Linked DNA regions of Saccharomyces cerevisiae S288C. Each later gene encodes a partner of the first gene's protein in a complex. Each region holds a gene or a part of one and is shown in the gene's direction. Other genes may lie near its edges. The genes, in order: EMC5, EMC1 and EMC6.

Region 1 (3,003 bases):
ATCTGCTGATCTCTGACACTGAATCAAATGAACTGATCCAAAAGTTACAAAACTCGGCCAATAATAACAGCGATGACGAGGATGTTGACGATGAGGAATTGGACATCACTCCATTGTTTCCCATTGACAGAAATAGCACTATTTTATATCTGAACGTATTCCACGGTCTGTGTGCAGGTGCCAACAACCCCAAAATCCAAACTAAGGACAGCGTTAAGGAAATAGTTTTGCCTTTATTCTACGATTTGTTGAATGCCGCATCCATCGAATCTGCTGATATTCTGTGTCCTCTCCTAGAGAGCTTTATCACATTTTCTCTGGATGATTGGATATCTATTGGATATGAAACTGAATTAAAAAAAATTACCGACAAAACTATTAAAGCATTTATGGATTCTACAATCGGGAATTCAAAAGTTGACATGAAGTACGATATATTTGCTAAATTCATTCACCATATCCATCATTTTGAAAAAAAGGAACTGCAGGAAAAATTTTTAAACCAGATAGCTACATTGAAAATTCATTTAAAAAAATTTCTACAGGAAAAAATGGATCCAAATAATTCTAGGGACGACTACAAAGATTTAACTTGTTCTTTGTACGAGCTCTACATCAATAAACTGACAATTCTTGGCAGGGATTACCCAATCGAGGTTGATGAAGAGTTGTTGCAACTGTTTTTGAACAATTTTGTTTCCCGTATCCCTATAATGTTTCAAGATTTTGATGATAGTACCGCTCAAGAAATAAACTTTAAAATGCTAGTGTTATTAGCCACATGGAATCTGGAAAAATGGAGAGAAATAATAGAGAAAGTAAGGGATTACGAGAATTCTATTTCAAAAGATCTTAGATCAGTTTGGAAACCAATTGCCGCTATAATAGGTCGTCTAAACACACTCGTTATTTCATTGGCGGCTACAAACGAAACATTTGAAAACATAAACAGCTTGTTTTACTTAAAATGGTCAGCTTGCACTTCATTAATGGATATAATCGTTGCAATAAAAATATTTGAGCTCAAATTGCCTGCAGACGCTACAACATGGAGATATAGTATGAGTGAACAATTTCCATTTTACCTTCACGATAATGCTTCCAAAGTGCTTTTGAAAATATTTTTATATTTGGAGAGTCTTTTCGCTAAGCAAGTTGACGTCCAATTAGAAAGGGTAGCAGATGAAGACGCCAACCTAAATGATTTGCCGGAAACCGGGTTTTTCGAGAATATTGAAACTGAATTCCTTTTATTCACAGTTAAATTGAAGGGACTAATGAAACTGAATATTTTAGATGAACGATTTGCTTCCCGTGTGGCACTAAACAAAGAAAAGCTTGGCCCGCTGTTCAAAAAAATCGTAGATGATACCATAATGGAAAATCCAGAACCTAATAAAAAGAACATACAGAAAGCAAAATCAAATCAAACACAGAGGGAAAAAGCGCCTTTACAACCCAACAGTGAACGAGAAACCGACCATGCAAATACTGAAAATAATGATCCAGATATTCCCATGACAATCGATCTAGAACCTATTGAAGAAAGTTCGCAAAATAATTCAGAGTTAGCACCAATTGAGGAACACCCAACCGTGGTAGATGCTATAGACAACAGCGACGAAATCACACAAGATTAAGGGAAAAGATATACGTCAGACTTATTGCTCTTTTGTAAAACAATAAGATCTATAATATATATCACATCTTTCTTTTGAACATACATAGCTTCGTTAGCAGTTTTTGATTAATCATAAATACTTCAAATATCCCTTCGCATTAGACTATACTCGCTGGATGATATTCGGCTATGTATTTTCCAAGCCCATTCAATCGTCATCAAAGCGCCCTTTGCTTCTTCGAAAACTCGCGATGTAAACGCAGCGCAGAAAAATCTACTTTTGAATATAAAATAAAGTCAACTCAGATAGTTGTTATGCATGTTAATTGTAGCATCTAAAAAGCGATCGTAATTAAGCCCTACCGAGATACAAAAAAGCAATTATCAAGAGATGTCGTTTGTTTCCAAGCTTCTCTATACAGTCTCTGCATTGGTGTTATTTCATTCTGGTTTCTCAAGCTATGAGTTTCATCACTTATTAAAACTTAACTCGCTTAATAATGCACAAGGTGCAATCAGCAAGTTACCTAAAGATATCATGTATGAAACGTATGCAGGATTGATACTCTTTGTTCTTGCAGTGTTCACTTCGTTCGAGAAATTACAATATTTACCAATTGAGAGTAACGATGGGAAGATAATATCCCAAGGAAACTATCTAAAAGAAATCGCATTAAATAAAGCCACCAACGTGGATAACTTGATAGGAAGTAACCCTAATGGTGAGATCATATTTACTCCAAGCTTTGTTGACGTTCATATGAAGAGAAAAATTTGCAGGGAATGGGCCTCTAACACTGTAAAAAAAGAAAAATAAATAAGATACTGAAAACTAGAGCTAGAACTTATAATTTCATACATATATACATATCAAGATCTAATAAGAGGATTAGCTAGATTTTGAGCATAAATTCGATAGCGAATCTACTCGAACATCGTAACTGCACAAAATAAGGCGTCAGGTGACCAGGCACCTCTTCTATTTACACCAACACAGACGCCTTTCATAGAGGAATAGAAAGCTATATTAGAATCACCAATAATGCAAGCGTCTCCTGTGTTCTATAACGTGAACCATAAGCTTGAGTGGTTTCAAAAGGATTACGGGGCGGATAGTATCTTTTGCGTCTTCGTTGGATAGTTTGTTATTAAGATACATAAATACACACTAAATTTAGTGGTAAAATCTTCTATTCAATATTATCGAGAGTCTCGGTTTGAGGGCTAACACTCTAATGGATAACCGTTCGGAATATTTCTATTCCAGTTTACATAGTATAAGTACGATATTCATCCTCATGTTAGCGTAAGTGGAACTTGTTCAAATCATCCTGAGGTACAGACAAGCCCTTATTGATGATTCATTCTGTTATTTCAGGAAC
Region 2 (3,762 bases), on another chromosome or scaffold:
CCATGACGAAATCGTCAACGACCCAAAGAAGGACGTTCTTGTTTTGTACTATGCCCCATGGTGTGGTCACTGTAAGAGATTGGCCCCAACTTACCAAGAACTAGCTGATACCTACGCCAACGCCACATCCGACGTTTTGATTGCTAAACTAGACCACACTGAAAACGATGTCAGAGGCGTCGTAATTGAAGGTTACCCAACAATCGTCTTATACCCAGGTGGTAAGAAGTCCGAATCTGTTGTGTACCAAGGTTCAAGATCCTTGGACTCTTTATTCGACTTCATCAAGGAAAACGGTCACTTCGACGTCGACGGTAAGGCCTTGTACGAAGAAGCCCAGGAAAAAGCTGCTGAGGAAGCCGATGCTGACGCTGAATTGGCTGACGAAGAAGATGCCATTCACGATGAATTGTAATTCTGATCACTTTGGTTTTTCATTAAATAGAGATATATAAGAAATTTTCTAGGAAGTTTTTTTAAAAAAATCATAAAAAGATAAACGTTAAAATTCAAACACAATAGTTGTTCGCTATATTCGTCACACTGCACGAACGCCTTAGGGAAAGAGAAAATTGACCACGTAGTAATAATAAGTGCATGGCATCGTCTTTTACTTAAATGTGGACACTTGCTTTACTGCTTAGGAAACTACTTATCTCATCCTCCTCCATTCCCTCTCCTTTTCCAATTACCGTAATAAAAGATGGCTGTATTTACTCCTCCATCAGGTAATAGCAATTCCACCGACCATACTCACACACAAGATGACCACGACAAAGATGATAATGATATCAAGAAATTCTACATAAGGCCAAGTTTAGGCTTAAAACTGTGGGGTCCGCTCGTACCCGCTCCTGATAACCTACCGGGACTATACACTCTAATCACTATCCAATCTGCAGTGGGTTTCTTTGCCCTTTGGAGACTGAGAAGGCTCTACAAACTACCGCCACCGCGCCGCATTGCCACTGGCACTCACTCGGATTTATCCTTTGGCGAACTACCCAGTGAAATGATTGTCAATGGCAAGACTAAAATCAAAAAGGATATTGCTGACTTTCCAACTTTGAACCGCTTCTCCACCACCCATGGTGACATTGTGCTCGCCCCTCCTCCCATCATACCTCGCCAATCTCGATTCGTCAGCGTCAGAAAGCTCTTATGGGGGTTGTTTGGCTCTTTGCTACTTTCTCAGTCACTGTTGGAGCTTACTCGCCTGAACTTTCTTAAATACGACCCCTGGTGCGACGAAATGAAATCCGTACGTGACAAGAAGTTTTTCAACAATATTGTCAAATATTATCACGAGGGCATAGACCCCACCAAAATAAAAGTCAAGGATGCTATGAACGGTACTCCTCTCTCGACAAATATCCCTGAGGTCAAACAAAGCGTCGCTCTCGCTAGAGCGCAAGTTGAGGCGCAGAATCCCATTATTAAATGGTTCGGACCCTTGGAATACAAGCCCATGTCTTTCAACGAGTACCTCAATCGCATGGAATTTCACTTGGACATGTTCGAGTTTTTTCAAAATAAAAGAAACATTAGAGAAAATTCCATTGAACTCATCAATTCCATATCCCACAATCCGCAGTCTTCTTCTACTGGCCTTGAAGGTCTTTCCGAGTCCAAAAAACTCCATCTACAAAATGTGGAAAAAAGACTGCATTTCTTAGCATCTTCGGGAGATTCCATTTCCGCACCAGTAAAGAAGAGATCCAGCACCACACTCTCCCGAGGTGTCATTTTGCCCCATGACACGAAAGGCCCGCAAGATATTGATCTCGATACAATAAGATCGCTTTATGATCCATGGATGACTTTGGCCTTAGAAACTTCGCTAAGCATCAAATTCATACCAACTACCATGCCCTCCCATACCAAGACACCCACTAGCACGGACCAGCCGTTACCAGGGCCTACCCCCAAGGCTCTCACTAATGAAAAGACACATTAGGTCTTTGCGGATTGCTTAGTTGTACCGTGCGTATATTAAATCCTTCTTCGTACACCGTGATTTTTCAGACGGCTACCAGAGAAAATATGGCTGGGATTTCATATTATATATGCAAATATATAATAACATATATATATATACACTCCATTAATAACTAATACCTACATTCATATCAACACTTTCATCCTCCCCTTCCCCCATAGCAATGAAGATAACGTGTACAGACTTGGTGTACGTCTTCATTTTACTCTTCCTAAACACGAGTTGTGTCCAAGCCGTTTTTTCAGATGATGCATTTATCACTGATTGGCAACTGGCTAACTTAGGTCCTTGGGAGAAAGTCATCCCTGATTCTCGAGACCGCAACAGGGTTCTCATCTTATCGAACCCTACCGAAACTTCCTGCTTAGTTTCTTCGTTTAACGTTTCTTCCGGACAGATTCTTTTCAGAAACGTTTTACCCTTTACCATTGATGAGATTCAACTGGATAGTAATGACCATAACGCAATGGTTTGTGTGAACTCTTCAAGCAACCATTGGCAGAAATATGATTTACACGATTGGTTTTTACTAGAGGAAGGCGTAGATAATGCCCCTTCTACGACCATTTTACCTCAATCCTCATATTTAAACGATCAAGTATCTATTAAGAACAATGAACTACATATTCTCGATGAGCAGTCAAAACTGGCAGAATGGAAATTGGAGTTACCTCAAGGGTTCAATAAAGTGGAATATTTTCATCGTGAAGATCCCCTGGCGTTAGTGTTGAACGTTAATGATACCCAATATATGGGATTCTCTGCCAATGGCACAGAATTGATCCCCGTTTGGCAAAGAGATGAATGGTTGACTAACGTGGTAGACTATGCTGTATTGGACGTCTTCGATTCTAGGGATGTGGAGTTGAACAAAGATATGAAAGCGGAACTTGATTCAAATTCGCTTTGGAATGCTTACTGGCTTAGATTGACAACTAATTGGAATCGCCTTATCAACTTATTGAAAGAAAACCAATTCTCACCAGGACGTGTCTTCACTAAACTCCTAGCTCTAGACGCTAAGGATACCACGGTATCAGATTTGAAGTTCGGATTCGCCAAAATCTTAATTGTTTTGACGCATGATGGCTTTATCGGCGGCCTTGATATGGTCAATAAGGGCCAACTTATCTGGAAACTCGATTTAGAAATTGATCAGGGCGTCAAAATGTTCTGGACGGATAAAAACCATGACGAACTTGTTGTTTTTTCGCATGATGGGCATTATTTGACAATTGAAGTTACTAAAGATCAACCGATTATCAAATCAAGATCCCCCCTATCTGAAAGGAAAACTGTTGATTCCGTTATTAGGCTGAATGAACATGATCACCAGTATCTGATTAAGTTTGAGGATAAGGATCATTTACTGTTCAAATTGAATCCCGGCAAGAATACGGATGTACCAATAGTTGCCAACAACCATTCTAGTTCCCACATATTCGTCACAGAGCATGACACGAATGGCATTTATGGCTACATAATCGAAAACGATACGGTAAAACAAACTTGGAAAAAAGCCGTAAATTCGAAAGAGAAAATGGTGGCATATAGCAAGAGGGAAACAACAAACCTAAACACTCTTGGTATTACACTAGGTGACAAATCGGTTCTTTATAAATATTTGTACCCCAACCTAGCGGCTTATCTGATCGCTAATGAAGAACATCATACAATCACTTTTAACTTAATTGATACCATTACAGGAGAAATCCTCATTACCCAAGAGCACAAGGATTCTCCGGATTTTAGGTTTCCAATGG
Region 3 (2,502 bases), on another chromosome or scaffold:
GTTTTTGGTGGTTATCTATATTTACTATCAAACATTTTACATTGTGCTATCTAGGGAGCTAAAAAGATTGATCAGTATATCTTACTCTCCGATTATGTCCTTAATGAGTGAGAGCTTGAACGGTTATTCTATTATTGATGCATACGATCATTTTGAGAGATTCATCTATCTAAATTATGAAAAAATCCAATACAACGTTGATTTTGTCTTCAACTTTAGATCAACGAATAGATGGTTATCCGTGAGATTGCAAACTATTGGTGCTACAATTGTTTTGGCTACTGCAATCTTAGCACTAGCAACAATGAATACTAAAAGGCAACTAAGTTCGGGTATGGTTGGTCTACTAATGAGCTATTCATTAGAGGTTACAGGTTCATTGACTTGGATTGTAAGGACAACTGTGACGATTGAAACCAACATTGTATCAGTGGAGAGAATTGTTGAGTACTGCGAATTACCACCTGAAGCACAGTCCATTAACCCTGAAAAGAGGCCAGATGAAAATTGGCCATCAAAGGGTGGTATTGAATTCAAAAACTATTCCACAAAATACAGAGAAAATTTGGATCCAGTGCTGAATAATATTAACGTGAAGATTGAGCCATGTGAAAAGGTTGGGATTGTTGGCAGAACAGGTGCAGGGAAGTCTACACTGAGCCTGGCATTATTTAGAATACTAGAACCTACCGAAGGTAAAATTATTATTGACGGCATTGATATATCCGACATAGGTCTGTTCGATTTAAGAAGCCATTTGGCAATTATTCCTCAGGATGCACAAGCTTTTGAAGGTACAGTAAAGACCAATTTGGACCCTTTCAATCGTTATTCAGAAGATGAACTTAAAAGGGCTGTTGAGCAGGCACATTTAAAGCCTCATCTGGAAAAAATGCTGCACAGTAAACCAAGAGGTGATGATTCTAATGAAGAGGATGGCAATGTTAATGATATTCTGGATGTCAAGATTAATGAGAACGGTAGTAACTTGTCAGTGGGGCAAAGACAACTACTATGTTTGGCAAGAGCGCTGCTAAACCGTTCCAAAATATTGGTCCTTGATGAAGCAACGGCTTCTGTGGATATGGAAACCGATAAAATTATCCAAGACACTATAAGAAGAGAATTTAAGGACCGTACCATCTTAACAATTGCACATCGTATCGACACTGTATTGGACAGTGATAAGATAATTGTTCTTGACCAGGGTAGTGTGAGGGAATTCGATTCACCCTCGAAATTGTTATCCGATAAAACGTCTATTTTTTACAGTCTTTGTGAGAAAGGTGGGTATTTGAAATAATGACATTGATTATTATATATGAAGATATAGAACATTTAATGCGCTGCAATATGTACGGTCACGCCAATTCTTTTTCTTTCTATATGCTTTCTAGTAACCCGGGTAATCACAAATGAAGCTAGTAGAGATATAACTAAATACAACTTAATTTTAACCTTATGTTGGATTGCTCAAGCAGTGTTCGAGAAAGACAGCGGCAGACAGATAGAAATGAGCTCAAATGAAGAGGTATTTACTCAGATAAACGCAACTGCGAATGTGGTTGATAATAAGAAGCGTTTACTTTTCGTGCAAGATAGCTCAGCACTTGTTCTAGGGCTTGTTGCAGGATTTTTGCAAATCGAGTCAGTCCATGGGTTTATTTGGTTCCTGATTCTGTACAACTTGATTAATGTCATTTACATTGTTTGGATCTGTCAACTTCAACCAGGAAAGTTCTACCAAAGCCCACTTCATGACATTTTTTTCGAATCGTTTTTTAGAGAGATAACTGGTTTTGTCATGGCATGGACATTTGGATACGCCCTAATCGGATGAACATATAAGAACTACTTCTATAAACGGTTAGAAACAGGCTTGATTTATTATGTACAGTAAATATAATGTTATTTGTGTTTTTTTTTTTTAAATTTTTTTAGTTCCTTCTATGTAAAAAGACATGACAACAGTATTCTCAGTCAAATGATTTCAAATACACAATGTTAAATTCTCTATCTGTTGCAGAAATAAGAAGAGCGTAAGAGCGCAAAGATTTTTGCAGAAAAATAGAGATGAGGTACAAAAAGTAGGTAATGGAAAAAAGCAAATAATGAATATAGGGGAACATAAATGTTATGGACAAGAGTAGATATCAAAATAAAACAAAATAAAATAGAGTAAGTGAAAGACAAATGGAGGAAAAAAAAAAAAAAAAAAAAAAAAAAAAAATAGTAAAAAGTGAAAGGAGAACGATGATAACACTAATCACACCTCCGCATTTTCAACCAATGCTGCAAGTTTCTCAACACTGGCTAAATGTCTATTTCCTAGGGAGTTAGATTTGTTTAGTTTATCCAAATATGCTCTAATGGCAATGACGATCAATTTCTTACCCTCACCCTCAGAGACATTAACTAATTTTTGAATCACATAGTTGGCAAATTGATCCTTGATCATTAAAATCATTGGAGAATCGTCTTCCAGATTCAAAGCATGATTTT

What was found.
Region 2: the proteins of EMC5 (region 1) and EMC1 are in contact, whole or in part, in a cryo-EM structure (PDB 6WB9), measured with the Saccharomyces cerevisiae proteins. Residues at the interface, in NP_012237.1 of Saccharomyces cerevisiae: His18 (codon at 2,064), Ser19 (codon at 2,067), Phe21 (codon at 2,073), Ser22 (codon at 2,076), Glu25 (codon at 2,085), Leu32 (codon at 2,106), Leu35 (codon at 2,115), Lys47 (codon at 2,151), Asp48 (codon at 2,154), Ile49 (codon at 2,157), Tyr51 (codon at 2,163), Glu52 (codon at 2,166); in NP_009884.1 of Saccharomyces cerevisiae: Leu248 (codon at 2,904), Ala251 (codon at 2,913), Tyr252 (codon at 2,916), Arg255 (codon at 2,925), Leu256 (codon at 2,928), Asn259 (codon at 2,937), Arg262 (codon at 2,946), Lys295 (codon at 3,045), Asn693.
Region 3: the proteins of EMC5 (region 1) and EMC6 are in contact, whole or in part, in a cryo-EM structure (PDB 6WB9), measured with the Saccharomyces cerevisiae proteins. Residues at the interface, in NP_012237.1 of Saccharomyces cerevisiae: Tyr9 (codon at 2,037), Leu16 (codon at 2,058), Gly20 (codon at 2,070), Ser23 (codon at 2,079), Tyr24 (codon at 2,082), His27 (codon at 2,091), His28 (codon at 2,094), Lys31 (codon at 2,103), Leu45 (codon at 2,145), Met50 (codon at 2,160), Thr53 (codon at 2,169), Tyr54 (codon at 2,172), Leu57 (codon at 2,181), Phe60 (codon at 2,190), Val61 (codon at 2,193), Val64 (codon at 2,202), Phe65 (codon at 2,205), Ser67 (codon at 2,211), Phe68 (codon at 2,214), Lys70 (codon at 2,220), Gly87 (codon at 2,271), Asn88 (codon at 2,274), Tyr89 (codon at 2,277), Leu90 (codon at 2,280), Lys91 (codon at 2,283), Glu92 (codon at 2,286), Ile93 (codon at 2,289), Ala94 (codon at 2,292), Leu95 (codon at 2,295), Ala98 (codon at 2,304); in NP_013087.1 of Saccharomyces cerevisiae: Gln10 (codon at 1,541), Ile11 (codon at 1,544), Asn12 (codon at 1,547), Ala13 (codon at 1,550), Asn16 (codon at 1,559), Val17 (codon at 1,562), Asp19 (codon at 1,568), Asn20 (codon at 1,571), Arg23 (codon at 1,580), Phe26 (codon at 1,589), Val27 (codon at 1,592), Ser30 (codon at 1,601), Val34 (codon at 1,613), Leu35 (codon at 1,616), Val38 (codon at 1,625), Phe41 (codon at 1,634), Leu42 (codon at 1,637), Gln43 (codon at 1,640), Trp52 (codon at 1,667), Leu56 (codon at 1,679), Ile60 (codon at 1,691), Ile63 (codon at 1,700), Tyr64 (codon at 1,703), Trp67 (codon at 1,712), Ile68 (codon at 1,715), Cys69 (codon at 1,718), Gln70 (codon at 1,721), Gly74 (codon at 1,733), Lys75 (codon at 1,736), Phe76 (codon at 1,739).

Annotation. Positions count from the first base shown.
Region 1 is NC_001141.2:303,114-306,116, reverse strand, and holds EMC5 (Emc5p), read left to right. Parts: upstream 1-2,012; coding exon 2,013-2,438; downstream 2,439-3,003. Other genes in the region: cohesin subunit IRR1, read left to right, coding at 1-1,640. UniProt on the Saccharomyces cerevisiae protein: Part of the endoplasmic reticulum membrane protein complex (EMC) that enables the energy-independent insertion into endoplasmic reticulum membranes of newly synthesized membrane proteins.
Region 2 is NC_001135.5:45,306-49,067, reverse strand, and holds the start of EMC1 (Emc1p), read left to right. Parts: upstream 1-2,162; coding exon 2,163-3,762. Other genes in the region: protein disulfide isomerase PDI1, read left to right, coding at 1-415; MGR1 (Mgr1p), read left to right, coding at 704-1,957. UniProt on the Saccharomyces cerevisiae protein: Part of the endoplasmic reticulum membrane protein complex (EMC) that enables the energy-independent insertion into endoplasmic reticulum membranes of newly synthesized membrane proteins.
Region 3 is NC_001144.5:119,809-122,310, forward strand, and holds EMC6 (Emc6p), read left to right. Parts: upstream 1-1,513; coding exon 1,514-1,840; downstream 1,841-2,502. Other genes in the region: ATP-binding cassette bilirubin transporter BPT1, read left to right, coding at 1-1,303; mRNA-binding protein PUF3, read right to left, coding at 2,267-2,502. UniProt on the Saccharomyces cerevisiae protein: Part of the endoplasmic reticulum membrane protein complex (EMC) that enables the energy-independent insertion into endoplasmic reticulum membranes of newly synthesized membrane proteins.